Alligator mississippiensis: one gene and its partner. The protein of the gene in region 2 purifies or fractionates together with the protein of the main gene of each other region. This does not show direct contact. Links are inferred from orthologs where the notes say so. Each region holds a gene or a part of one and is shown on either strand. Other genes may lie near its edges. The genes, in order: ANAPC7 and ANAPC13.

What was found.
Region 1: the proteins of ANAPC13 (region 2) and ANAPC7 purify together in Homo sapiens (affinity purification with mass spectrometry; 3 studies listed by BioGRID and IntAct, counting the BioPlex papers as one, with this or other methods). This does not show direct contact. The link is inferred for Alligator mississippiensis from reciprocal best matches to the Homo sapiens genes ANAPC13 and ANAPC7.

Annotation. Positions count from the first base shown.
Region 1 is NC_081833.1:2,202,400-2,215,229, reverse strand, and holds the start of ANAPC7 (anaphase-promoting complex subunit 7), read right to left. Parts: upstream 4,912-12,830; 5' UTR 4,841-4,911; coding exon 4,740-4,840; intron 4,330-4,739; exon of another isoform or gene 3,960-4,329; coding exon of another isoform or gene 3,946-3,959; intron 3,469-3,945; coding exon 3,282-3,468; intron 2,913-3,281; coding exon 2,793-2,912; intron 1,069-2,792; coding exon 957-1,068; intron 713-956; coding exon 559-712; intron 1-558. Other genes in the region: ARPC3 (actin-related protein 2/3 complex subunit 3), read right to left, coding at 7,472-7,534, 9,144-9,238, 9,668-9,794, 11,059-11,127, 11,431-11,507. UniProt on the Homo sapiens protein: Component of the anaphase promoting complex/cyclosome (APC/C), a cell cycle-regulated E3 ubiquitin ligase that controls progression through mitosis and the G1 phase of the cell cycle.
Region 2 is NC_081830.1:30,840,575-30,852,636, forward strand, and holds the start of ANAPC13 (anaphase-promoting complex subunit 13), read right to left. Parts: upstream 4,566-12,062; 5' UTR 4,477-4,565; intron 4,412-4,476; exon of another isoform or gene 4,328-4,411; intron 4,318-4,327; exon of another isoform or gene 4,231-4,317; intron 2,440-4,230; 5' UTR 2,408-2,439; coding exon 2,309-2,407; intron 1-2,308. Other genes in the region: CEP63 (centrosomal protein of 63 kDa), read left to right, coding at 10,049-10,092. UniProt on the Homo sapiens protein: Component of the anaphase promoting complex/cyclosome (APC/C), a cell cycle-regulated E3 ubiquitin ligase that controls progression through mitosis and the G1 phase of the cell cycle.

The DNA of each region.
Region 1 (12,830 bases), on a different chromosome or scaffold from region 2:
TGCTGAAGGCTGCCAAAATGGAATAGTGAGAAAGTTTTTTAGGTAGCAGACCTCTACCAAAATATCCTGCTGCCAGAAGCAAGCAGCATTTGCTAAGATGGTGTGTGCTGCCATGTTAAACCTCAGTGTGTCATCAAAGCAAATCTTAGACCCACTAAAAGCTTTACAGATCATCACTAGTAACTTGCTTCTGGATGTAGTTCAAGAAGTTAAACAGTTCGTAACATGAAACACTAGGGAGGTGGGCTCACAGTAACTCGCTTTTAAAAAGGTTTGCCACAAACTTGGGCAGTAAGTCTAGAATATCATTACTTTTCTGCTACACAGACTTCCAAATCAAGATTCTTGCAATATGGGGGACACTCTCCTCCTCCCTCCCCGACCTGAGATGTTTCGTTTGGCATCTGCCAAAATCCAACGAATGTTTAGAGATTGGGACTGTATAGCCCTACACAGCACAAAATTCACACCATACCATGTCAAACAATGTGTTTAAATCTATTAACATCCTATGCAGAGTAACGATTCAAGAACACTTTAATTCACCTTGATTCTTACCAGATGGTGTTGATTGCTCTGGTGTTATCTCCAGTGTGCACAAAAGCATATGCTTTGATCCACACTGAAAGCCAGTCCAAGTTGGGGATACTCTGAATTACATTCATTGTCATAGAGGCCACTTCTGCACCTTTTACTGAGAGGGAGAGCAAACCTATTCAGAAAAACACACCAGTCAAGTTTCAAGTAACCAATGCAGTTGGTAATACAAGTTAGCTAACTGTTTTAAAGAATGACAATTTAATTGCTTTGTAAACTTATACGGATTATTATAAATAACTGCCTGTATAATTCCTAGATTGTATTTGCTCATTTACTAAGTCTCAAGCACTGCATGTCGGTAATAACATTGTTTAAGATTAAATATTTAAGTATTTGGTAGAAAAAAAGAACTCTACCTAGTATAGCATCAAGCGCTAGAGGACACTGCCTCAGCACTTCTTTATAGCTTGTAACAGACGACCGTTCCTGACCTGCCTTCTTGTACAAATTTGCCAACATCATGTTAATCTGTAGAGAGAGAGGGAAAAAAAAGAAAAAAAAAAGTATTGGCTGTGATAATCCAGTCTACAATTATGTAGGGCAGAGGTTCATCACTGAGAGAAGGCCCTAGATTCATTACAGCCCCATCTTTCCAGCTCTAAGTAGAATACAGAAGTTATGAACCCAGCTTTACAATTCCTTGTATCCTGTAAAATAAGTGTTTCTTCTGATTCAGAAGGCAAAAACTGAGGTAATTCTTTTATAGTTGCATAAGGCCTCTGAAAACCTCAGTTTTGCATATATTAAATCCTGATATAAGCAACTATCTACATATGTGGAAGTGATACCTGACAAACAGCTGCATCTTACGTTGGTTTCCTTTCACCAGCTTTCTCTACATAGTGAGGAAAGGCTGCCAGAACTGTAACCTTTGGGAGGTGGAGGTTTTTTATTTAGGTTCTGAATAACTTAACTGCTCAGGAAATAGCTTAAATTCAGGTCACTGCAGCTAGCTTTTGTGGCACAGTTATTTTGGTTTGCTGACATACAAGGGGAAGAAACTGCTTGGCCTCTCAATGTTTTCATTTTTGTGCAGTAAGTCTGGCTTATGGCAAGACACCTTGTAGTTAGTTACACTGGCCAAAATGTAATGCTAACAGTCAAACCTCAGTTAAAGTGCACAAGGTGTTAATGGTTCAAGAGATTAACTAGATGACAGAGCCAGCAAGCAAAAGACTCAACATTTTTGGCTCTGCATGCTGCTGTGATCTAAATATTTAGCACTACATAAACTACCATTAAACCAGGGGAGAAGAATCTTGAGGGAACATAGTTGCTGGGTTTTTCCCTTCTATTCATCAGGCCAGGAATTTTCTTCAGCCTCAAGAAGCACACGCTGCTGAGGTCACAACAGACAGCAGCACTTCGTTTCCTACACAAGCTGTCCTCCTAGCAGCATTCAGGAATCTGGTGGGAGGATCACCATACTCAGAGCTAGGGTATTTACCAGCACAGCAATTAGTCTTTGTCTGGAGGAAAGTAAAAACCAGGTATGAAAGGTTTTGGATTGTTAACAGACTACCAGGCAAAAGCAGAATGTTTGTAAGTCTGGTAGAATCCTCAGTCCTAAATGAGTTAGACACATACCACTAGAAGTTAAAGGGTCTATTCTTCCTCACACAGGAGAGATTTTGTAATTCCCACTAGTAAGTTACTCACTAATTTTCACAGGAATTAACTGGGGAAGACACACAAGCGTTTAGTTCCTTTTAGTTAGGTGATTTTTTTTCAAATAAAATCCATATTGCGATCTCCTGCTTTAAAGAAATGAGCTAAATGAACTTAGCTAGTATAAACTACTGAAGGAGCATTTCCAAATCTCTCATGTGGACGTTGCAACCACAAGTGCCAAGGGTTGATGTCTTTATATATACAAAGCTAGATTTGCAATTCTGGCCAAATTAATATTAAGCTCCAAATATACCCAAACTACCCTCTCAGCAGAGAGAGGTAGTTAGCTGCCTTAGTCTGATGGTACACAGAAACCATGACAGGGCGGCACTTACAGCATAACTCGTTCATGGGCATAAGCTTTTGTTGGCTACGGCCCACATCTACTATGTTAGATGCATGTGAGGAAGTAGGCTGTAGTTTACAAAAGATCATGCCTTTCTGGTATCCGTGCCCTCTTTAAGGTGCCACCCTGCCCTGCCCTCTGTCTTCTCAGACCAGAAACACATCCAGGGATTTACCTTTGGGGTTCTTTGTCTTGAAGGAATTCCATCCAGGATAGCAATGGCATCTTTATCTTGCTTCAACATTGTGTAACACTCAGCCATTTTATATTTCACTTCAATTTCAGATGGCAGACACTAAAATAAAACAGATTGCTAAAATATAACCTCTCAAATGCTGTTTTAACTACATGAAAAGAAATGGCTGAATCATAAGTTTTCTATCAGATTTTTCATTAAAGATAAATAAAGTGCAAGGAAGATGGTAAGCTGTACTTGCATAACTCAGGCTATTTTGTAGCTTCTAAATGAAAACTGTAAATTTAAGAAGCAAAATTTTGGCCCCAGGTAACCATCTTATGTTTTTTCCATGAGTTCAGCGCCATTAGTAGTTAAACAGTCTAAAAATTCAGGCTACTTTAGTATAGCAATGTTATAATCTAAAGTCACAACATGAACACACCAACAGCCCATGTCACAACATGAACACACCAACAGCCTAAGTACCTGACTTTGTGGAGTTGATGCAGCATTCCCAGTAGAGGGTCTAACTTTTGAAGTTTTACTTAATGCCTTCTTCTGCTGCAAGGCCATTGTATACTTACTTACAGCATTCCTATACTCCTTGTCATGAAAGAGGGAGTCTGCATGATACACAAGCAGCTGGTACTTTTGAGAAGGGGAGAATAACTCTCTGGAAGAAAAAAAAAAAGTGATGCTTAACTGAACTGTCTGATGACAGGATACGGACAAATTTGCTAGAACCTAAGTTCTCAGTGTTAGGAAGGAGGCCCTTAGCTATGACCCAGAAGTGGAAGACGTATGAGTGCAACATTTGCACCTTTCATTCACAAGTGCTTTAACCCAAGGCGAGAACAGCCTTAGCAACCCTAAGCATGTCTTTAATGACTCCCGAGCGGTGAATACTGGGTGCGTTTACATGTTCTTTAATGCATGTCGTTACGGCGCATTAAATTTAGTACCTGCAATAAAATAATAGGTATTAATGCATTGTAATCGGTGCCAGTGCACATTAGCGCAGATGAACATTTTTTTGTGACGTTAATGTACATTAGACTATGTCTACTGTACATTAGCATGGTTTTTGCCAGCCGCCCTAATGCGCAGTAGAATTAGTCTAATGCGCGTTAAACATCTCATGTAGACGCACCCTCTGTGAATCATCCTCTTGAAGAGCAAGCGGACTTGGATTTTAGAATCAGTACAAATCCGGAGCGATGCTCAAACTTGTGCCTCTACAGCACCAGTTCCCAAACCGCGGTACACGTACCACCAGCGGTACGCGTTCACAGATTTATTATAATGACTTTACGACAAAAACGTGCTGGTGCCACGTAACTCTGAACTGAAACTTTTTTGGTGGCACTGAAGTTTGTATCGTTTTAAACTGACGGCGCGCAAACCGCTCCTCTAGAGACAACGCTGCCGCTGCTATCCAGTCACGCGGTACTGAACCCGTCACTATCTCGGTTAAAACATCTTCAAAAAACTCTGTTCTTGATCCGAAGACATCAAGAGATAAAATGCGTGATTTCCTTTGCCAGGTTAGTCATGCCCGTTCAAAATCGGTCCCTCCTTCCCACCTCGAATCGCCCGGCTTCAACTCGCTTCTTGTTACGCCGTTCTCTGTTAGGTTAAAGGGAGTTTTTTTGGACCCAAGATTTTCTACCACTGAAGGGCTTCGCTTACTAGCCCAGGCCGCGCTCAACCTCTGTTTTGAGAAGGGCAACAGAAGTCTCTCAGGATGAGCGGTTTCCCCCAGCCCTTCAATCATTTTGGGGGCTCCCTGCCAGACCCTCGCTCCGAGTGCAACCCCCACAGCGCACGGGACGATCCAGCCCCGGGGGAGGAGCACGGACAGGTGGGCGCGGCCAACTGTCAACCGCCAACGGCCAACCGTCAACCGCCAACGGGCGCCCCGCCCCGCCCCGCCCCGCGACTCACGGGTTGTTGCCGCTCATGGTGAGCAGCAGCCCGCTGAGGATGCGCACGTTGGAGTGCAGCCCGGCAGCCGCCATCTCCCGCACGTGCTCCACCACGCTCATGTCGGCGCTGAGGCGGCTCCGGGCGGCTGAGGCGTCGCGAGCCTCCAAAATGGCGCCGCCGAGGGGGCCTCGCCCTCAGGAGGATATAGGAGTCCGGGGATGGCGCCTGTGCCCGCGCCTCGGATTCACGCCCTGCTGATGCCTGCCACTGAGACCTCCCTCCCACCCCCTTTGCCGCGCGGCCGGGCACAAATGGGGAGTTTTGCAAGCAGGCACTAAGGAGGACGCCTCAGGGGTAATGCCGATCGCGCATGCGCCGAGGGAGGGGGAGTGCGCAGACGCCAGCTGGTGGCCGGCGTGCGCGTGCGCAGTGGGACTCGCTCGCGTGTGCGGCGCTCGCCAGCAGTTTTGGCAGCTGTGCTCGCACTGCCCTTGTGAATTCAGGCCGGCTGCTCAGTCAGTAACAGAGGACAGGAACGAGCAACGGCTGTGGCTGGGGGGAAGTGGAACAGGACTCAGAGGGGTGTTTCCCAACCAGTGTGCCATCAGCACTGAACAGATGCAGAGTTTTGTCATGGCAATGAGCTACAACAGGTATGAGGAAGGGGAATGCCTTAACAAGTGTGCCAGGGCAGTTGTTATTAATGCAAGTGAGCCTGGGGCTGGAAAAGGGTGGGAAACACTGCTGTAGATCTCTGCTTTTAACCCAGCAAGACAGTTAGATGTGGCCGGTGCCGCAGAGGGGATCTTGTCTTTCTTTCCTTCGCCCAGGGTGGGCCGATCCTCAGTCTCCTCCGTCCGAACGAAGAGGTTCAGGATCAGCGCTGCTGCGTTGGGTTGTGGCTGGCGAGACCGCAGGGGCAGCTGGGTGGAGCGTGGCGCCGGTAACTGCTGAACGAGCATTGGTGCAGAGGAGCACGGCCCTGCTACAAAGAGCTGGGATAAACGAGTACAGGTTTGTAAACTGCAGCCCTACTATTAGTTCTACTCGGCTTTCTACAGGAGCACTTCCCTTTTCATTTTGCAAGGGCTTAGTATGAAAGCCACAGCACCAAGCACTGGTTACTTAAGCATAAGACAGAGCCTCTGGCAGCACTATACTACTGGGTGCATTGAGACTTCAATCACCCAGGATCTGATTTTTTAGAGGTGCAGAATACCCTCAGCCACCCTTCCCGTTCCAGCCTTTCTACCAGCCTTCTCCGCCAGTAGCTGCTTAATCTTTCATCCTCCTAAAACATCCTTCTTCCACACTGGGTGCTCTACAGAAGAGTGCCCATTGCAAGAGGCAGCCATTGGACTCCTGCCAACAGTAGAACTGAATGAATGCTTTTAGTGCATGAGTGTAAAAATCTTGACTTTTCAAAATTAATTCTTCAGGCTTTTAATCTGATATGTAAGCAGGCAGTATATTTCAAATAGATAGAAAGTGTAAGAGGTGAAGCTAAGCCTGACACCTCAGATTTTGTTTAAATCCAAAATTTGAGCAACTCAGTTTACTGCTGATGGTTTCATATTCCAGCTGTAGACATCCCATCCAAGTGTTCTTCTTTAATAGCTTATCAGTCCAAAGTATTGTTCGCTATTTTCTGAGTGTTCCAGCTCTAAGCCATCCACTCCCCTTTCTGCTCCACCCCTGTTTAGTGCGCAACACTTGCCTGAGAAGAAGAATGCTATGAGGTGATCAACACTCGATGTCTTCTGCAAATCTCCCTTAATTAGAACAACAAGTTACATCTATATGTCAGCGGTTGCCCTAATGCAACTATATAGCCAATGGCAGCTTACAGCCCAGAATGACGCCGGTCTTCACGCAGGTGGCATCATCACAGTGCTCACTGCAATATGATCTTTATTGAAAAACATCTCACAGAAGAGAAAGTGGCCTGAATAAAGTCTTCAGGGTCAGGATCCCTTGTGTTTAATCCAGCAGAGACAGAGAGAGAGAGAGACTTCCCAGTGCAAGGGTGGCACTCTGGAGTCCCAAAGTAGGACGGACCAGCGACTGAAGTAGGGGCCTGGATCTCAGGGGGAAGTCCTGGCCGCATTCAGTGGCGTCGAGAATTTATCCCAGGATTCTACTCTCTGTGCCTGTGTAACCCTGGGTAGCCATTTACCCTTGCATCTCCTTCCTTTCCCATCTGTGTTATTTAGACAGTAACCTTGTCAGGGCAAGAAACATTTCTTACCACAGGTTTCTACAGCTCCTATAAAACAAACCCTCAAATTTACTTGAGGCTTGCTGGCACAAACATAACAAATCAAGCTTTCATTTTTGTATAGCTATCCACGTTCATAAGAGATAAAACAGGTATCATGTGAAATAAGCTAAGTTTATTAGAAAAAGGAGTAAAATTCACCATGCTTTACAATACAGCCTAAGTGGCAATGACTCTAGCCAGCAGAGTAACTGCAGGACACATGTAAGACACATTATATATGAGGCAACTGATAATAAAAGCAGCATTGATCTGAAACAGCATGTTAGAAATTGTTTATTAAGCACCAGCTTAATATTGTTCACTTACAGGATTCAAGGGTCCTTTTGCTCCACCTCCCCGCATTGACTGACAGCTTTCCCTCATAAGCACTTATTCTTCCTTGGTACAAAACATGTATGAAGCAAAAGCAAAATATTTTTTACACCTTGCTGTAGACTGCTTAACCTTGTTGCCACTCCTCTTTGCTTCTTTACTGTCCTGGACCTGACAGGCTCTTATTCATGAACTGTCTCTTCACAAAGCAGATCCACCACTAAGAGAGAAATCCACAGTGAGATGATATACCAGAGGAGTTTCCAAGTAAGCAGTCTACGTAAACAAAGCAGGACTTGTGTGTTCTGCCTGACACCCACTATGTAAAAACCCAACTCTGCACAGACCAGGGATCCAGTTTTCAACAGTGGCTTTAACGAGTTTTAGGCACTCAAGGCAGGCAATACAGGATAATTCAGATTGTAACACTGGGACACTTGCATTAAAATACTCTTTAAGGTGGTTGTTTCAATGTTAGCTTCCAAGTATCTTGCTTATTTGGAAAAAAAGGAGAGACATACACACCTCAAAGTGTACTGCATGCAGTTCCAGTCTAGATCTGGAAGCTAAGCAGTATTTGGGGGGGGTGGACGTGGTCTTTAAAACTCTGAAATCTTTTCAGTTATTTCTTTCCCAGAAGTGGCCATTTAAGAAAGCCCCATACCAGTTGCTTTAAAAACATGACTCCTTGCCTTTGATGCACAAGTCTCTGGACCAGACTCTAGACATCAGGCAGTCAACACTCATTCTGAAACATAACTAGCTCAATAATATTGAAGTTACTGTTCAAAACTGGCCTAAGCATCTGAGCAAATATGCAAAATGCATCTACCCTAGGCTGTAACCTCTTCTCAGAAACGACACACCAAGGCAGGCAGAAATGAAAGGAAGGAGTTAACTCAGGGATGAGCGAAGTCTGGCCCATTCAGACCCATGGTGGACTCCCTTTTCCCAGCAGCCTCTGACTGCCTCACTGCAGCCAGTTTCCATGGAGACCCCAGAAGCAGTGGGTCCAGGGTTTCCATGGAGACCGCCAAGCAACACTGGCAGGGCAGTGGCTGGGCAGGGAGCTGTTCCAGGGCCAGGAGCTTGTGGCGATGCCTTGGCTCCAGCCCCCACTGTCAGAGCGGGGCATGCAGGTAGTGAATCATGGCTCTGCCCCAGTTTGGACCACGCTGTCACCACTGCAAAATCCCACCCCCAGCCCTGGAGCAGCTCTCTGCCAGCACTGCTTGGGCCGTCTGCATGGAAACCCTGGCCCCACACTGGCACAGCCCTGCCGCTCCCAAGATCTCCATGGAAACCGGCCCCAGCAACACTGGGAAATCTACTGGCCAGATCCACCGTATGGCCCATCCCTGCGTTAACCGATACATCCGTTAGCAAAGTGCTTTTCCCCACACAGGAAGAACTGCATCGCTCACTATGGAAGAGGCCAAGTACCCTCAGTGCCAGACGCGTTCTCTTCTATGCAGTTGAGTGTGACCAGCTGGGACCTAGCACTTTGCAGGACTGACCAACAAACAGACTGTTGCCTCTGTGTTCTTGGACAGGATGCTTCTGCCTGTGCAGCCTAGCCTGGCTTTTGCTACCATCTCACTTACAGACTCATCTAAATCACAGGGCGCTACCCTCCTATCCATCTCCCTGCTGCCTCTGACTTCCGTTCTCCAAACACATGCCTTAGGGAGCAAATCCAGAATTATTTTCTTTTCCCCTGAAGCTGACATTCCCCAAGTGTCCACTAATCAGGAAAAAAAATGGAGGCCAAAAAACTGGGATTAAAAAAAAGAAAATGTATTGACCAGTTTGTGAGAACAGCATCTTACCTTGCTAGGTTTGTCACTTTGGGGATCAAACACCTTTTCACAAAGCCTAAGTCCAGTTTCTTGTCTCAGCTGCTGTAAGTAGGCCCTCATCACCTCTGGAAGAGAGCATGGACCAATACAGATTGGAGTGTGCAGTGTTAGATACTGTCTAAGAATAGTTCTGGCAGCCAACAGCAAAGCCATCTGATGTGCTGGCTAAAGAGTGGATTAGCAATGTCTGCACCCCTAGCATCACCTTCTGTTTTCAACACTTGCTGAGCCAGGGTTGCTTAGTCCTGAGCACAGCAGGGTAAATTACCACAGTTTAGTTTCCCGTGTTGTGGGATTGGAGCAGAGCTGCTCACTTGACAGGATTAGCAGGGATACAGCATAGTAACTCTGTCCCAAACTCAGTCAGACTCCAGGTACACAGAGAAAGCAGGACCACTGATTCACAAGGCAGTTTGACAGCCACAGAAATAAAGCAGGCTGTTGGATCCATGCTGTAGCCTGAAGTTAAGTGACAAGGCTGCTTTTGTTCTTACCGTCCTCTTGCTTGTTGGAAGGTTTGGCATAGATGGCATTGAGTGGAAAGCCAGGCTCCCCAGGTATCGGGAAGTTAGTGATTCCCAGCGTGTACATTTCCTTTTCTCCTTGGCCTTTGGAATTACACTGGAAAAGCCAGGAAAGAGACCAGTTCAAACATACCGAGAGAAGCTGTACCACTTTAGATATAAAGTATGTAGCTTAACTAGGATATTGATACGGGACTACCCGTGGGAGAAAATACTGAAGGTGTCTTATGTATTTGTCCCTGATTAAATGAGAAGTTTCTTTACACAGTTTGGGGGCCCTGTGCACTTACTACAAAACAAAAGGTTTTCTGAACTACCAGGGGCTCTGGCAGTCGGGCCTGAAGCCAGCTGCACGTATAGACTGTACCGATATAAACCCTTCTTGGTTAGTAGTACAAAGTACTTTCTAATAGATGCACCAGTATAACCCCCAGTGTGAACTGTTATACTGATATAAAAGGAGCCTTATACCAGTATAGCTTATTCCTTTATCCAGATAATACCAGCAGAAACATTCTAAGGCATGTTTATAACTACGTATACACGAAGGGCTTGTAATGGTTTATGTATATTGAGCTAGTCTGTACCACAGAAGTTTTACTGCCTTGACAAGCCATAAAATCTAGTAACTTGCCCGAACACCAATGTGTAGCCTCTCTGGCTTACTTTGTGGTGTGTACAGACATATCCAAAGGCTAAGTGCAGCATGCAGAAGAAAGCAAGAGTAGAATATCCCCAGTGAGTCTTGAAGAGGAGCCCAATACTTTCAGGCTTGATGTGGGTGAGGAACAGGCAGAGAAAACCATGGTAGAAACTGATGACTAACAGGGTTATTCTGGACAGATGGGTTGGGGGGGAGGGGGAGGAGCAGCTGAAGAAAGGAAGTCAGAAGAGTTGATGAGACCAGAACTGATGATCGCATCAGAACTTCACGCTGCCTTTTGGCCCAACAGGGAAGGGATTTAAAATGAAGAGGAAGCTATGAGCATTTCCCCCCTTAAAGCAGCGCAGCGCAGTGCGGGCAGGCCCTCCTGCAGACACACGGCCTATGTCAGAATACTAAAGATTCAAGAATTACCACACCTGCAGGATGGGGTGGGGAGCACAGCACTTGGTCCCCACAGCTCCTACCATTCATTAAGGCTTTGCCCAGCCAATTACCATTTTTATAGAGAAGATAATCCTAACTAACCCATAGCCGAGAAGGGTGGTGAACATTTGGTGTCCAGGCACTAACTGCTAGCCAGCAGCATTTCTGCTTATGCAAGTTTTCCAGCTGCTTTAGGGCAACCAGCAGATCAGGCACGTTTTTGTTGTCATTTATTTTATTGCCCTCCTCCAGCTTAGCTCTGGGATCTTACCTTCTGCAGCTTTTTCAAGCACTCGGAAATGTAGAGAGTTATGTAGATCAAGGTTCTGTCGGCCTCATTCTGCAAAATAAAAAGCAGGCACAAGCCACCATTAGACCAGGGGAGGACTTTACAGTTGCCAGGAGCAAGACTAACATGCTCAGTCCCTAGTCTCTCACAGAGATGCACTGACAGCACTCCTGAGGAGTTTCCTCACCCAACTTCTTTTAGAAAGGAAAACAATTGTTTCTTTGCATTTTTACCATACACAAAAAGATATAAACTCTCAAGGGGGTCACAAGTGCTGCAGTGAAACAGTTCTATGTTTAAGTCAAGTCCCAGCCTCCACAAATGTGCACAATACCTTAAAGGTACATTTCTTACCTTAATTTCATAATTTTTGAAGAAGACATTTGCTTTGAAGTAGTAGATTGCTTCATCAATAATATCTGTGTCCTTTGCTAACAAGAAAGAGAGGGAAAGTTAACCAAGATGCAGGTGTACAGGACTGGCCGAGATGCACAGTAAAAATTCCACTGTTTCTTTTCACTAGTCTGTAGAAAAATAAAATCCTTACGAAATATGATGCTACAGATAACTTATCCCAGTTCTCAGCAAAGATTTGATAGCAGCGGTAGTGCTGTGGTCATGCCCCATATGACTAACGTGCCTTTATTTGCACGAAGGAGCACAGGCTACAGCCACTCACCACTTGAACAGCAATGAGTTCAAGCTTTGTACTTGCCCAAGTAAAGCAAGCAGCTTTGTTTTGTCCATTTTTGCCGTGATTGCTCGGTAATTCCCAATGGGTCTTTCAGTCGTTAGTGAGAAATAACAACAAGTCTACTATCATTACAAGAGGATGTTGGTTATAGCTATCATTATAATGCCCTCTGAGATCAGGTCTAAGGGAGGAGGGGAAGAAAAAGACTAATTTAAAATTAATCAGGAGAAACATAATCCTTCACCTTCCTCATTTAAAAAAAAAAAAAAGAGAGAGAGAGAGAGATAACAAGCAAGCTCATAACATTAGATCCAGCAGGCTTTGGGTTTCACCAGTTGACACAAACCACCTAGATCTAGAGGTTGGTCCCTTTCAGCATTGAAATGGTATAATGCTGTGGAGCAGTTGTGGAAAACAGAGACACAAGATAATGAAACAGCATTAAAACAAGCACTAAATAAAGCCTTCCCTGTGGTTTTTGAACAATTTTATCTAGACACCACCACTTCCGGGTTCTCAGTTCTACTTTGAAGGAAGTTACAACTACAGGGCCTGCCTCCCCCATTTCTCACTGTACAGAGCAGCAGAGGCACTCTTCAGCGTTGCTGCTTTTTTAGCTGAAGACTATGCTAATTTTTCACCCTCTTAATCTAAGATGCATTTCTCTAACACGACACATGCCACTCATCAGCTACCTAGTGAAAACCACACCCGAGAGGCCACAGCAAAACTTGTCCTCCTGCACGACACAGCAAACCTAGCTTGAAATGAATGAGAAGCTTAAAATACATTTTAAAAAGCAAAGCAATTAGAGAACCGAGAGCTGGATCTCCTTGGAGACCGTAAGCTTTGGGTCTTTGAAGGCATGAAGAGAGAAGACAAACCAAAATGGTTTGAGCATTTAAAAGACAGATGAGGAAGTCACTGCGTTCACTATTAATCTAGACCGAGAGGCCCCACTCAGTCAGGGCGACCACAAAGTTTGTTTCTACCACATTATTCATGCTGCCTGTGCAGCACACCTTGTTCCTTGCCGTCTACATCTACTGCAAGCTCCCTG
Region 2 (12,062 bases):
CCCCAGGCTGCATACTTATGCTATGAACTAAAAATCACTGCTAGTTGGGTAAGTATCAGCATGAAAATAGATCTTGAGCTCACCAGAACAGAGTACCTCTGGAAGGCCTTTACTCAGTTCATTTAAGGCTGTATGAAATCCAAAAATGAATGGGGTTTATGTGGGGAGGGTGTGTGTTTGAAGAGTAACAGGATATGCAGGTATCCAATGGAAAGGGGCTGCAAAGATCCTGGTGTACTTCAGAGTTCATGATAGATCAAAAATAGTTGCTAACAGACCTAGGAGAAATCAGTTCCTCCCCTCCACTCCCCTTGCTGGCAGAATGGTAAGGGAATAGAGAAAGGGCAAGTCCTTGGGACTCCCTCACTCCAGCTGAGAGATGAGGAAAGGGGAAGTGTAGTGGCCCTTAGCACTGGATGCAGTTGGGGATAAGGGGAGCCACTTTTTCAACTAGCTCTTGACTGGTGATACTACATGCCTCTGGGGAAAGGGAAAGATGTCAAAGATAAGATCTATGGGCCAGATCCAGCCCATGGAGCCACATCATCTGGCTCCCATCCCCATGGTGGATCCAGCTCCTGCTCCAACCAGTTCAGAACAGGTACCACTTGTGGCACAGTTCCAGAATGCCAGAGCAAGGGCTGGAACAGCCATGCTGGAAGCAGCAGTGCTCCACTGGATCCCCTGCATGCCAGATCTGGCACTTGCTCTGGCTGGTCAAGGATCTGTGCTGCATGGAACAAGCACCATGGACCGCACAAAGCAGATGCTGGATCCAACATGTGGTGGGGAGGGTCCATCATGTGGTGGGGAGGGTCCAAGACAGTTCACAGGCTGACCCCTGGCAGTTTACCCAGTCCATGAACCAGTCCCATGCCATTCACCTGGCCCACAGGGACAGATAAGTTGGCACCTGTGTCCTGAAGGGAAGCTGCCTTGTCGTGTAGGTACCTTTATGAGCAAAGAGACTACCAATACAGATGTGTTCAAGTGCACAATTTAAGGGGCACCTCTGGCATGGATTGTATTTCAATACTGGGATCACATAACAGATGCTTCTATGCGTCATAACCCAATGATTCTTAGTGCCTCGGCACATTGGAATTTTCCCGCCACATGGAGCTTTCTTCGCGCGGTGGATTTCTCAGCTGCAGAGAGAAATCCCTGGTGCAAAAGAGTTCCTGCCACATGCATGCAAATTAGTGTCCCACTATTGGTCAATTCTAAATTATTCCTACGTGGCGGCTAGCAATTGGCTCGCTAGCCGTACAAAAGGTTAGAGCAGTTTCCGCCCAAGTTGGAGGACTCCACAACCATCTCGTGGGGAACTCTGAGCGTGCTGTGGAGCCTAGCAAACTCTGCGTGTGCCTTGGAGGAGGACATAGAGGCCTGATCAGCTCTTAGCCACTCCCCGTCATAGTGAAAATTTGACGTATCCCCCGTGTAAAGCGCTCGTGGAGTCATACATCGACGACTCATCTCGGTTCGGTGTGGTTCGGAAGAGATCTCACTTGTGTTTGTTTGTGTGCAACTGCAACTCAAGCAAGTTTCCTCCCTGCACTGTGACCATCGGCAGTGTAAGTAAAGCTTTCTTTGTAAAACCAATACGCTTCCGTGCCTAACTCTACTCCGTCGTGGAAAAACCCCATCTGACGGTCCAGGCTACTGGCCATAGCCTTAGACCGACCCTTGGTCCCGACACCATGATCACACCATTTTAGTAATAATTACAGTGATTGTTTACATGGAAAAGTACTCTTAGGAAAACACTGAATGCATTTTAGCAGCTGGGAATGAAAAGTAGCCAACAGTACTTAAATGCTAACTCTCCACACACTGCCAACACAAGGCTGCTTATCCGAGACCCACAGACCCCAGTCTGGCAAACTGCTTCAAACACAACCAGCACTATAATAAAATGTAGTTTGATAAAAGAGCATCACTTGTGCTTGCCCCTAACCCCAAACAGAGGCAGGGGATGGGAAGAAGCATTGCACCCTCCAAAGAGGCTGACAACTGACTAAGAGCAAGAGGAGAGGTTTCCTCCTTCCAAGGAGTCAAACAGCTGTGGGATGAAAGCATTTGTACCCCCACCTGTGGAGGGGGAAGAGAAGGGAGGAAGTGGGGGAGTGAATCCCATGTTCTTGCCACACACAAAACAAAGGGGAAGCTGAACAGAGCGGTATAAGAGTATTTCTGGTACAAAGTGGTGGTGTTGCAAGGATCATTTGCTTAGAAGGGGTTAAGAAATTTGGAAATGCAAGGACTCAAGATCAGGCTGTTAATTCAGTGCACAGCGGTCACCTACCAGGGGTATTGCCACATCCTCATATGGTAACTTGTCTTCCCTCCAGGCATCGTCAATCAGATCCAGGATTCTCCCGTCCCTCTGCACCTCACTGTCCATCAGTGCGCAGCCAGCCCGCAATCACGCAACACCTGCGAAACAAAAAGGACGTCATTCGCAATGGCCCAAACCCTCTAGAGTGGTACCTTGGGGGTTGTTTTAATTCCTGTTGAGAAAAGCCACTCAGGAGATCTTGGCTCTTGCATTCACATATGCATCATATGGTTTGGGGTGGTTTTGTTTTTTTTTTGAAATTCCATGTCTCAGGCCAAATCAACTCCAAATTCTATTGACTGAGCAGAGCTCAACTGTTCAGGTCCATGTGGTGCTACCACTGGCAAGTATCCTACCTCCCAAACTCTTCAGCCTGGGGCTTAGGATACTCCCAAACCCATGGCAGGCATCCTACATGCAAGCCCCAAGGCCTTGGGGTTTACATGCCCCCTAGTCTTGCTTGCCCCTAGCCAAAAAGCTGAAAGAACAAGCTAGGGGCATGCGCAGTGTCAGTGGCGCCTTTTTGTCAGCGGTGCTTGGGGGCGGTCGTCACTCGCCACCCTGCCGCTGCCTGCGAGCAGTCAGTGATCCCCGCTGTCTACTGCTGATGCTGCCGGTGGCATCTGTGGGTGATTGCCGACCTCTGGTCGGCGCTTGCCCCCCCCCCCCCCCCCCGCCAGTGCTGGCAGCATCTGCAGGAGCTCCCCACTCACCACTGACATACTCCCACCACCGCCGTGCCCCCCCAAGAGCAATCCTCAGTCATCAGCATAAACTGTGTAGGTGAGATCCTCCCATTAGGAGGCATCTGTAGAGTCTTGCAATGCAAGGGGCAGACCTTCACTCTCTAACTCAAGAGTTGGCCAAAATACAGCCCACTGGCCAGATCCAACCAACCAGTTGACTGGATCTAGCCAGCGACTGCCCCTGTGGAGCTCTGCATGGGGCCAAGCCCAGCCCAGGCTGCGCTCCTGACTCTGTCTGCAGGCCCCAGCCCGTGTGCACAGCTTCTGGCAGAGTGGCTCCTGGTGCAGCTGCAGCCCCATGGGTGCTGCTCAGCTCACCTCCAGCAGCAGCTTTTGCTCCTGCTCCTGCCCGTGGCGCTGCTTCCAGCCAGGGGAAATGGCAGCCGAGCGGGTGGAGCAGGTAAAAGGTGGCTGGGAGCTACAAGAGCCCCATGTGCTGGGGTAGGACCCACCGGCTGAAGCTTCCCCCACCTGTAGCAGCACACCAGGGGCAAGAGGAGCTGCCTCTAGAGGTGAGGGGAGCTCAGTTGAGCAGTGGGGCCCAGCAGGAAGCAGATGCCCATCCTTCTCCCGAATACAGCTCCCCGCCTATGGCCCCATCCCACAGTGGGGGCATGTCTACATGAGACGCTTAATGCACATTAGCTTAATACCACCACGCAGTAGTATGTCACGGCACAAACCATGCTAATACCCCACTGCCAGTAACTGTAGATACTGTGTGTTCAGTTAGTCCAAAATTAAGTAATAAATTCACAGGATCTGAGGCACATTAATGAACGTGGATGTGCCCACAGAGTTTGGGTGGGTTGCTGCGTGGACCCAGCACACAACAGCTCTTCACACCTCCCTATGTGGCCCCCAGGCCCAAATAATTACATAGTCTGGCTCTAACTACCCCGGGCCTCTCAGGGACAAAAAGACAGGGGTCCTTCTGCAGTGCGCTGAGGGGCTCGAGGAGTCCCTGCACAGGGTCAGGACCAGGGAGAATGAGTAGAGTGTTTCTCCTCTCCCAGGCTCGCCTCAAGCAGACCATCACCCCCCAGCAGAGCCGTCCAGGTTCTGAGCACATGCCCCCACCTCAGAGCCCAGGGAGGGCACTGCGCATGCTCCTATCAGCGCACATGCGCATTATCGACCTACCTTCGCGCCGGGGGGGGGGGTCCTCCGCGCCTCAGGATTAGGGCAGAGTGCCTGCTTCTCAAGATCAGGGCGGGGACCCGAGCCGCAGTCTCACAGCCGGCAGTGCGCATGCTCCGGCTCCCACACATGCGCACTACGCAGCCAGCCTTGCACTTTTGGGGCCTATGTCCCTTCCCTACCGGTGAGAGAAGCGCTCCATTCCTTCCCCCCAGCGCCAGCTCCGCACGACCCCTCCCGCGCGCTCACCCCTTCGCTCCTCCGCAGGCCTTCACGTGACTGGCCGCTCTGAGCCGCGCGAACTATAGAGAGGAAGCCGGGCCCTCCAGCAGCACCGCCGCGGGTAACGGCTTGCCGGACCGGGACGCCCCTTCCCCTTGCATTGCGCATGCGCAAGCCTGGCCCCGCCTCCTTCGCGCTGGGTGACCCAAGGCGAGTCAGGCGGCGTAGTGACGGTGCCTCAGTTTCCCTGTGCCGCTCCGGGCCCAGAGGCCCTTCGCTTCGGCGGGCGGGAAGGCGGCCCCTGCCCCGCGCTGTCTGCGACCCTGGGGCTGGCCCGGCCCGGCCCGGCCCGGCCCAGGCCAGCGCGTCCGGGTGCCGAGCCCCACTGGGCCCCTGGTTTGCCCCCCTTAGGCCGGCGGGGCCCCTGGCCCGTGCTGCACCCGGCGGCGGAGGGGGGCGCTGCCCCGGGGAGGCGGCATCCAGGGGCATCTCCAAACCCCACCCCGTGTCGGGTCCGAGGCGCAGGGGATGCCGCTCCTGCCCGCCTGCCTTTTCAGCAGCTGCTCGGGGGCTCGTTTGCCCCCTTCAGCACCACTCACCACCTCACCCTTAGCCTCCCTCACGCAGGGAGGCAGCAGAGAAGGGGGGCAGTTGATTGCTGGGGACAAATAATAGGAAAACGGACAGGAGTGAAGGTCAAAGGGCCGGAACAAGAGTGCCAAAGGCGGGACGCCGAGTAGAGCTCACTGGACAGTCCCTGCTGGCCCCCCAACTAGTCCAAGGAGCCAGTGGGCACTGCCCGGTGATACTCAGCTCGGAGACGGGTGAAGACGGGCCTGCAGTCCCGGGGACCCTCCTGGCCACAGCCTCCTTTCTGGTCAAGCATCACTGACAAAGCACAGGCTGCGTTGTCTCCGCGGTTCCTGCTATCAGGCAGCGATGGGAGATAGGGTAGCATGTGCTGGGACCCACGGGGAGCTCTGCGGGCTGAATGACACAGGTCTGCAGGGCATGTCTTGGCTGTTGGCTGGGCACTGAGCACCACAGAAGTTGTGGGCTCGAAAATACAAGTGTCTTTAAACTTACATATTAAATACTCTGTAAATAAGGGATTTTTTATTGATACTTGTAACTCCTAATGTTAAAGCCCTTTGGAAAGTATCGGTGGTACTGGATCCTTCAAGGATTAGAAAGAAATGGCCAGAGACTTCCAGTATAATGTATGGTGATAAACCAACAGGTGCCACCCTTGGCAGCAAGGCATTTTCTGGCCATCCTGGTTGAGGGGACTGGTCAGGAGTTGCTTCTGCAGCGATAGACTTGCTCTGTCCTTGGAGTCCACCCTGAAAGTTCCGATGTGTTGTAACCGCGTGGTTTCACGACTTGCTGGGAAAGGGTTGCGGGTTCCCTTCTGTCTTTATTGACCCCATTGCTGAACTGGCTTGCTGCCTCTGTGCTCTTTTTACCTTACAGTTAGATGTCCCGAAACAAGAACAGCTGGTGCCATTGAGCCATCTGGATCTTTTCTCCAATTTCAGTCTTGGTAACTCTTTTGTTCCTTGTCCATCCCAATCAGGAGGCATCACAGCTTAGTGTTCAGAACAGTGTGACCCTATCTTGCACCTTTTTCACATAGGCCCTGGATCAGGAAGATGCCCGCGTATGTGTTTAAGCTTGATTTTGCTGGGACTATTTCTGCTTAAAATTAGACTCCTGTTCAAGCACCCTGTTCAGTGTCATGACCTTAACTCTGACTGCTTTAGTTGCTGCTGTTTAGTGTATATAAAACATTCATTCTTAGCTTCATACCATCTGCAAGCTTGAAATGGCACTCTCTCATGGTTCAGAGGAGATCAGCTAGTAAAATCAAATCAAATGGTAAAAATGAAAAGAAAACATGCAATGTAATACGGAATGATGTAATCTAAAAGTCCCAGTGTTGTGTTACTTTCCAGAGCTGGAAACACCTGTGCCAAGACAAAATGAAAACTTTAGGTATCAGTGAACTTTGTGAAGCGTGAATCCCAAAGCAGTCTCTGCAGGGAGGGTGGGGAGCAATTCTTGACATAGTTAAATAAACACAGTATGTCTTATTGTAGGCTGTTTAACTGTGACGGTAGGGCTTCTGGCCTTTCCTGTTTAATTTAATTGTTTTCAAGAAATGTCTACAGAGCCATTTATTTTAAAAATTAGGAACTTGGGAATTTTGCAAGCTCTTGTGATTGGACTTGAGGAAAACAATATTATGTTACACAATAGCAGCCTTTATGGCTACCTATTTTAATATTAAATTCAGGGCCTGACTTGGATACTGTGACTGCAGTATCTATTGCTCACTGTGGAGCTGTGCTTCAGGATCTGAGATGTCATTTAAAGGAAAACAGTATTGAACCATTTTGGTTGGAAGTCTGATTGAGGTACAGCATGTCAGGGCATGAGGGAATTTGTATTTTCTGAGAGATAATTGAATGAACTGGGATTAGGCTGGTAAAGGAAAAAGCTGTGAGAGGTGAGGGCATGGGGTGGAGTTCTGCCAGGTGGCTGCTTTGGTCGTGTATGTGAAAAAAGCTGGAGGGTCTGTGTAAGGAGCAGGGCTGAGCCTGCAACCCAACTGCAGGTAGTCAGCAGTTACGAGTGCAGGAAGGGTGACAGCAGCTGCAGCTAATGAGGGATTTGAGGTGGAGCCACAAAAAGGCTTCAAATATCCAGGCACAGATTGGAAAAAAGCAAAAAGAGGGGAGATGTGGTGCTTGGGTAGAAGCAGTGAGTCTGTGTTAACTCCTCCCAGGGTCTGAAAAAGACCACAGCCTTTTGGGTTTTGTTTGTTCATTTGTTTGCTGTTTGTACACTTGCTTCTTTTATTGGGTTTCCTTTACTGTGGGGACAAGGTTGTTCTGGTAAAATAAGTAGTCTGGAAATCTGACCACTGAGCTGACTGGCTTCTATAAGGAAGGTGGGTGAATGATGACTTGAGGCTCTAGCTGTGGGGGTGGGGTTGATTCGCAGAAATTTAGAGCTGGAAGGGACCTTATGAGATCATCGGGTCCAGCCCCCCCCATGATCGTCTCATTAGTAACACTTCTGCAAGGTCTGAGGGTGGGTAAGAAGATGTATGTAGAAGTCCTGCTCTGTCCAGGTGAAAGGGGGGGATGGGATTGCTTGGGGAAGTTGTGAGCTCAAGAATACAAGTGTCTTTAAACTTGCATATTAAAAAAAAAATCCCTTATTTACAGAGTATTTATTGACACTTGTAATTCCTAATGTTAAAGCCCTTTGGAAGGTATCAATGCAACTGGATCCTTCAAGGATTAGAAAGAAATGACCATACTGACTTCCAGTATAATGTATGGTGATAAAGCAACCGAGTTTTAAGACCTACTGAGAGTGATGCTTCTGTTGTTGTTCTTCATAACTCAGCTGTTCTGAGGTTGAGGGGCTCTGTTTGGCTAAAGGCAGATTCAAACTGAAAATGTGATGAAGGTAGTCAAACAAATGGTTTTCGTGTTGGCTGTGACCTTTTAGAGCAAATAAGCCATCAAGAATAGTGCTTTATCTGTCAGGTTGTAGAAACAGTGACATAGGCCTGGAAGGGTGGCTTGGCTCGGAAGAGAATATATTATTTTAAAAAGCGGGCTTGCTTTAACCCTTTCCTTACTGGCTACTAGAGTCCAGTGAAGAATTCCCTGGAGTACATTGGCAAAAGATGCACTATTTGGCATTTGACTTAACTGTTGTGTGGTCTACATCTTTAAATTGGTGTGACGGTTATACTTTATGAGATCTTAATTTGACAGAAATCCTTGGGCCCCAACTATGTCCTTGCCCCCCTCATTAATATATATTTACGTTTATAGCTGAAGACTTAGTCTATTTACCACTGCCAGCAGCCTCAGTCATTTTTAAGCCAAAAGTCCCACCAAGCAGTCCTTTCCCGAGGCAATTGTACCCATCTAGATACTTCTATTATCACCAGTATCTCCCTTGACGTTCATCAGGGTTTTCCAGCATTGCCGTTACTTCTCGTCAGATGTGGCACTTACTTCAGCATGGCTTTTGCTATCAGTGTTGCTGCCAGAGCATTGGTTAGGTTGGAGCATACCCGACGCTGGTGTCATGCTGATGTGGCTGCTCGTATCTGCAGGAAAGTGTCAAGGAAAGAAAAGCTCAGAAGTGAACTGGTGCTTATTGAGTTTGTCTGGTTTACTTGTCGGGCTCAAAACTGATACTGCTGCATGATCTTTCCCAGGTGCCAAACTGGCATTGCAAAGATATCTGTAAGAACTAGTGATGAGAGAACAGTGAAAGGTTTGGCATTTGGAGAAGCATCTTATATCACTGAAGACTGCACAACTTTCCTGTACAACAGAACCATTCTGCCCTTGGCTATTTTCCTGAAGGGTTCCTCTTGTGTGGCCTCTGATAAATGGCCTGTAGTATAAGTAAGTACAAAATACCCTATTCTTTGGCAACTTCAGAGGGTCTCTCTCTCTCTCTCTCTCTTCTTCCCTGCCTGCCCCCAGGGAAGCATGAATTTTTTCTCCTGGAGATGCCTTAGTTTCTTCTGTTTCCAATCTTTGGTGTTCTTTCCTTTTAGCTCTCTCATCTTCCTTTCCCCATTCCTCAGTGACAGACCAGCCCTCTCCACTGCAGTTTTAATTATCAGGGAGGGGAGTTGGTATTGCCATCAGATTGCCTTCACGGGTGGGAGTCTAGAGAGAGTGCTCTTGGTTGCTTTCTCTACCTCTTTCTCCACTTCACACCTGGAGATGGGAGAAGAGGACAAGTCAGCTCTCTGCCTCCATGCTCATGAGCATTCACGGTTAGCATCCATTATTAAATTGACCAACCTCAGGCAGGAACAACCAACAGTCCTGGTACGTTGGCCATTGTTATTCTATCTAGAATTGTCCAATCCAAATCAGGCCACCTGGCTGGTGCGTGGAACTGGCAAGAGAGAGGTACTTACCTTGGGCAATAGAATATCAGGGAGCTTAGGGAAGGTGGAGCTGGATATTTTTCAGTGTGAGTACAAATTATCCCACCATTTCTTATTGCAGGGTTCTTAACGTTTTTGTTGGAAACAGCTTGTGCTGGCCTCTGTCCCAAACAAGATGGATGCTGGGGCTGCTCTAGTCCAGCAGTTTCTGTGTCTCTTTACAGTTCTGCACTGTCCTATGCTCTTGAGGATAAAAATCCCCCCAGCCCCAGTATGGCCTGACCCATTCAATTAACCAGCTTACTAAAGTTCACAGCCTGACTACATATTTCACATCCACTGTTTGAATCATTGTGTTTGCTGGATCACATAATTGCATCAGCTAAGCTGATGGTAATCAATAAGCAATGGTCCTGATTTTCTTGTTCTGACTGATTTCTTTATTTTTTATATCTCTGGCCAACATTTGGCCTGCAAGTCTCTTGAAGAAGACTCTGCAACTCTTTTGCCCCTTCCTACACATACCCTGTAAATTGCATAATTTTTCACCTCCTTCTCCCCACTCCAGACTTCTACAGCCCACTGGAGAGCATGTTATCAAGTGCTGCAGCCTGACCCCCACTTCGCTTGCTTTTCTAGCTGCTATAGAGGACCACGTTTGTGATGGAGGCTTTGCTAGAGGGAATGCAAAAGCAAGGGCGTGGTGGGTACGTATGCAGCTGTTTGCAATAGTCTCCTCTCAACTAAAGAAACACCTGTATTAGTTTAAGTTCAGATGTTGTAGTCCTTCAGTTCTTTCCTTACTCAGCCAAACCTTTATCTACACAGGGTTTTATGCTTGAGTAAAGCCTTCAGGATGTAGTTAGTGGGGCTTGATATATTGTGCCACTGTTTTTTGTTTTTTCTTATTGGAGCAGGAGCAGACCTGTAGTGAATTGCTTTTCCAGAAGTCTCTGGCTACCAGCCTTCATAGTTTTAATAGTTGGCATATCTGTACTTTCAGCTTTCTGAATAATTGTCATTTCCTGTTATATTTACAGCCTTCTTACAAGCTCTTTTGACACTAAGTGCCATTGTAGTGAAATACATAAAAGCAGCATGGTTCCGCTCTGCAGATCTGCTCCAATCTGTTTGCTTTCCTAGCTGAAATAAGTCCTACTGCTTCTTGCTCCTGCTGGCATTGTAGGGACTATCCAGTGGCAGGAGTGCAAGCTGTATTCCTTTTTGGCTTGCGTGTTATCAGCAGAACTGTTAAATGTCTTCCAGCTACTGAATCTTTAATGCTAGAGTCAGGCTAAAATACATACAGCTTTGAGAGCCTAGGCTGAATCTACAATTCAAAAAAAGGAAGAAAAAGTAGAGTTTTACCTAGTAATTGAGGAAATTTGAGCTGGAAGTCACTCTTCTGCTTGTATTCCATCTCTGTGTGAGACCCTTTTGGTAATCCCTTTTCAGAACTTGCCCAATCCTTAAAGATGGCAAATACCATCTCTTCCTTGCATAACTAGCTTCAGAACCTAAACATGAATCTTATTATACAGTTCCTGCAAACAAAATAAATGTACTTGCCATAGTTCCTGCTTAATTTTTGGTCACTTTGCAGGACAGGGTGAACATCAAATTTAATAGTGAGGTTGGCTCCTTTAAGAGCGTATTTTCTTTCCCTATAGAAAAACTGTCAAGTTGTGAAGTGTGCAGCCACTCTGGGGAAACAGAGAAATTTCAATCCTTTAACCTATTGATTTCCATTTCTTTTCAGTCCTTCCTGTTTGACAGGCAAATTAAAGGGGTAAAGATCAGCATGGAGTTCACTGCTCTCTGGGGCTGTATCTTGCAATACTTAATAGTGTCCCTAGCTGAGCAACTTGTGAAGTTTCAGAGAAGTTAGTTGAATTGGCTTCACTGATTACTGCACCAAATTCGCAATCCCAGATTCTCTAGGGAGCAGACTCTTTAGTAGATTGCAAATGTTTTATTCTTCATTATTGTGGTGTCATCCAACCTGTTCTACTTAGCGGTTTGTCAGCATTTATGTGATAAACTTCTATTTTCAGGAGCTGATAACTTGGCTGTAAGATTTCTCTTGTGACTCAAACTTGGTATAAAAAGTCTCTGCTTTGGGGCAATATTTTTTTAAAATATAAAATATGAGAAACCTGTTTAGCTTATTGCGCATTGTTAGAGTGCCAAATTGCAGAGTTTAGTATTTTAAAAATGTTTTTATGCTCCTATTTAATACATTGAGTTTTGTCTTTTACCGCAGCGTTTCTCAACCTTCTACACCTTATGTCCCACTAACCGTTTTGTCAAAAAACCTTGGTTCCACCATAATAAAAATAAAACCCCACAAAATTGCGCTGTTTGAGATATCTGTTGATTCATTTACTTGAAGTGCAAACAACTTTTTTGTTTTTTTTTTCAATCGGGCAATGAGTTGAAGTCCCACCTACACGACCTTCAAGTCCCACTAGTGGGACGTGTCCCGCTGGTTGAGAAACACTGTTTTAGTGTATATAATCAAGGTTATTTGTTCAGGTTGAGGTTTTCGAAAGTGCTTGGGTTTGGCATAACTGTGCTCATGGAAGGTGGTAAGAAAACTCTCATTGACTTTAACAGGACACATGTTGGGCTAGGGTAGAGTTCTTCTGAACAATCCCATCTCTGAGGGTAATAATTC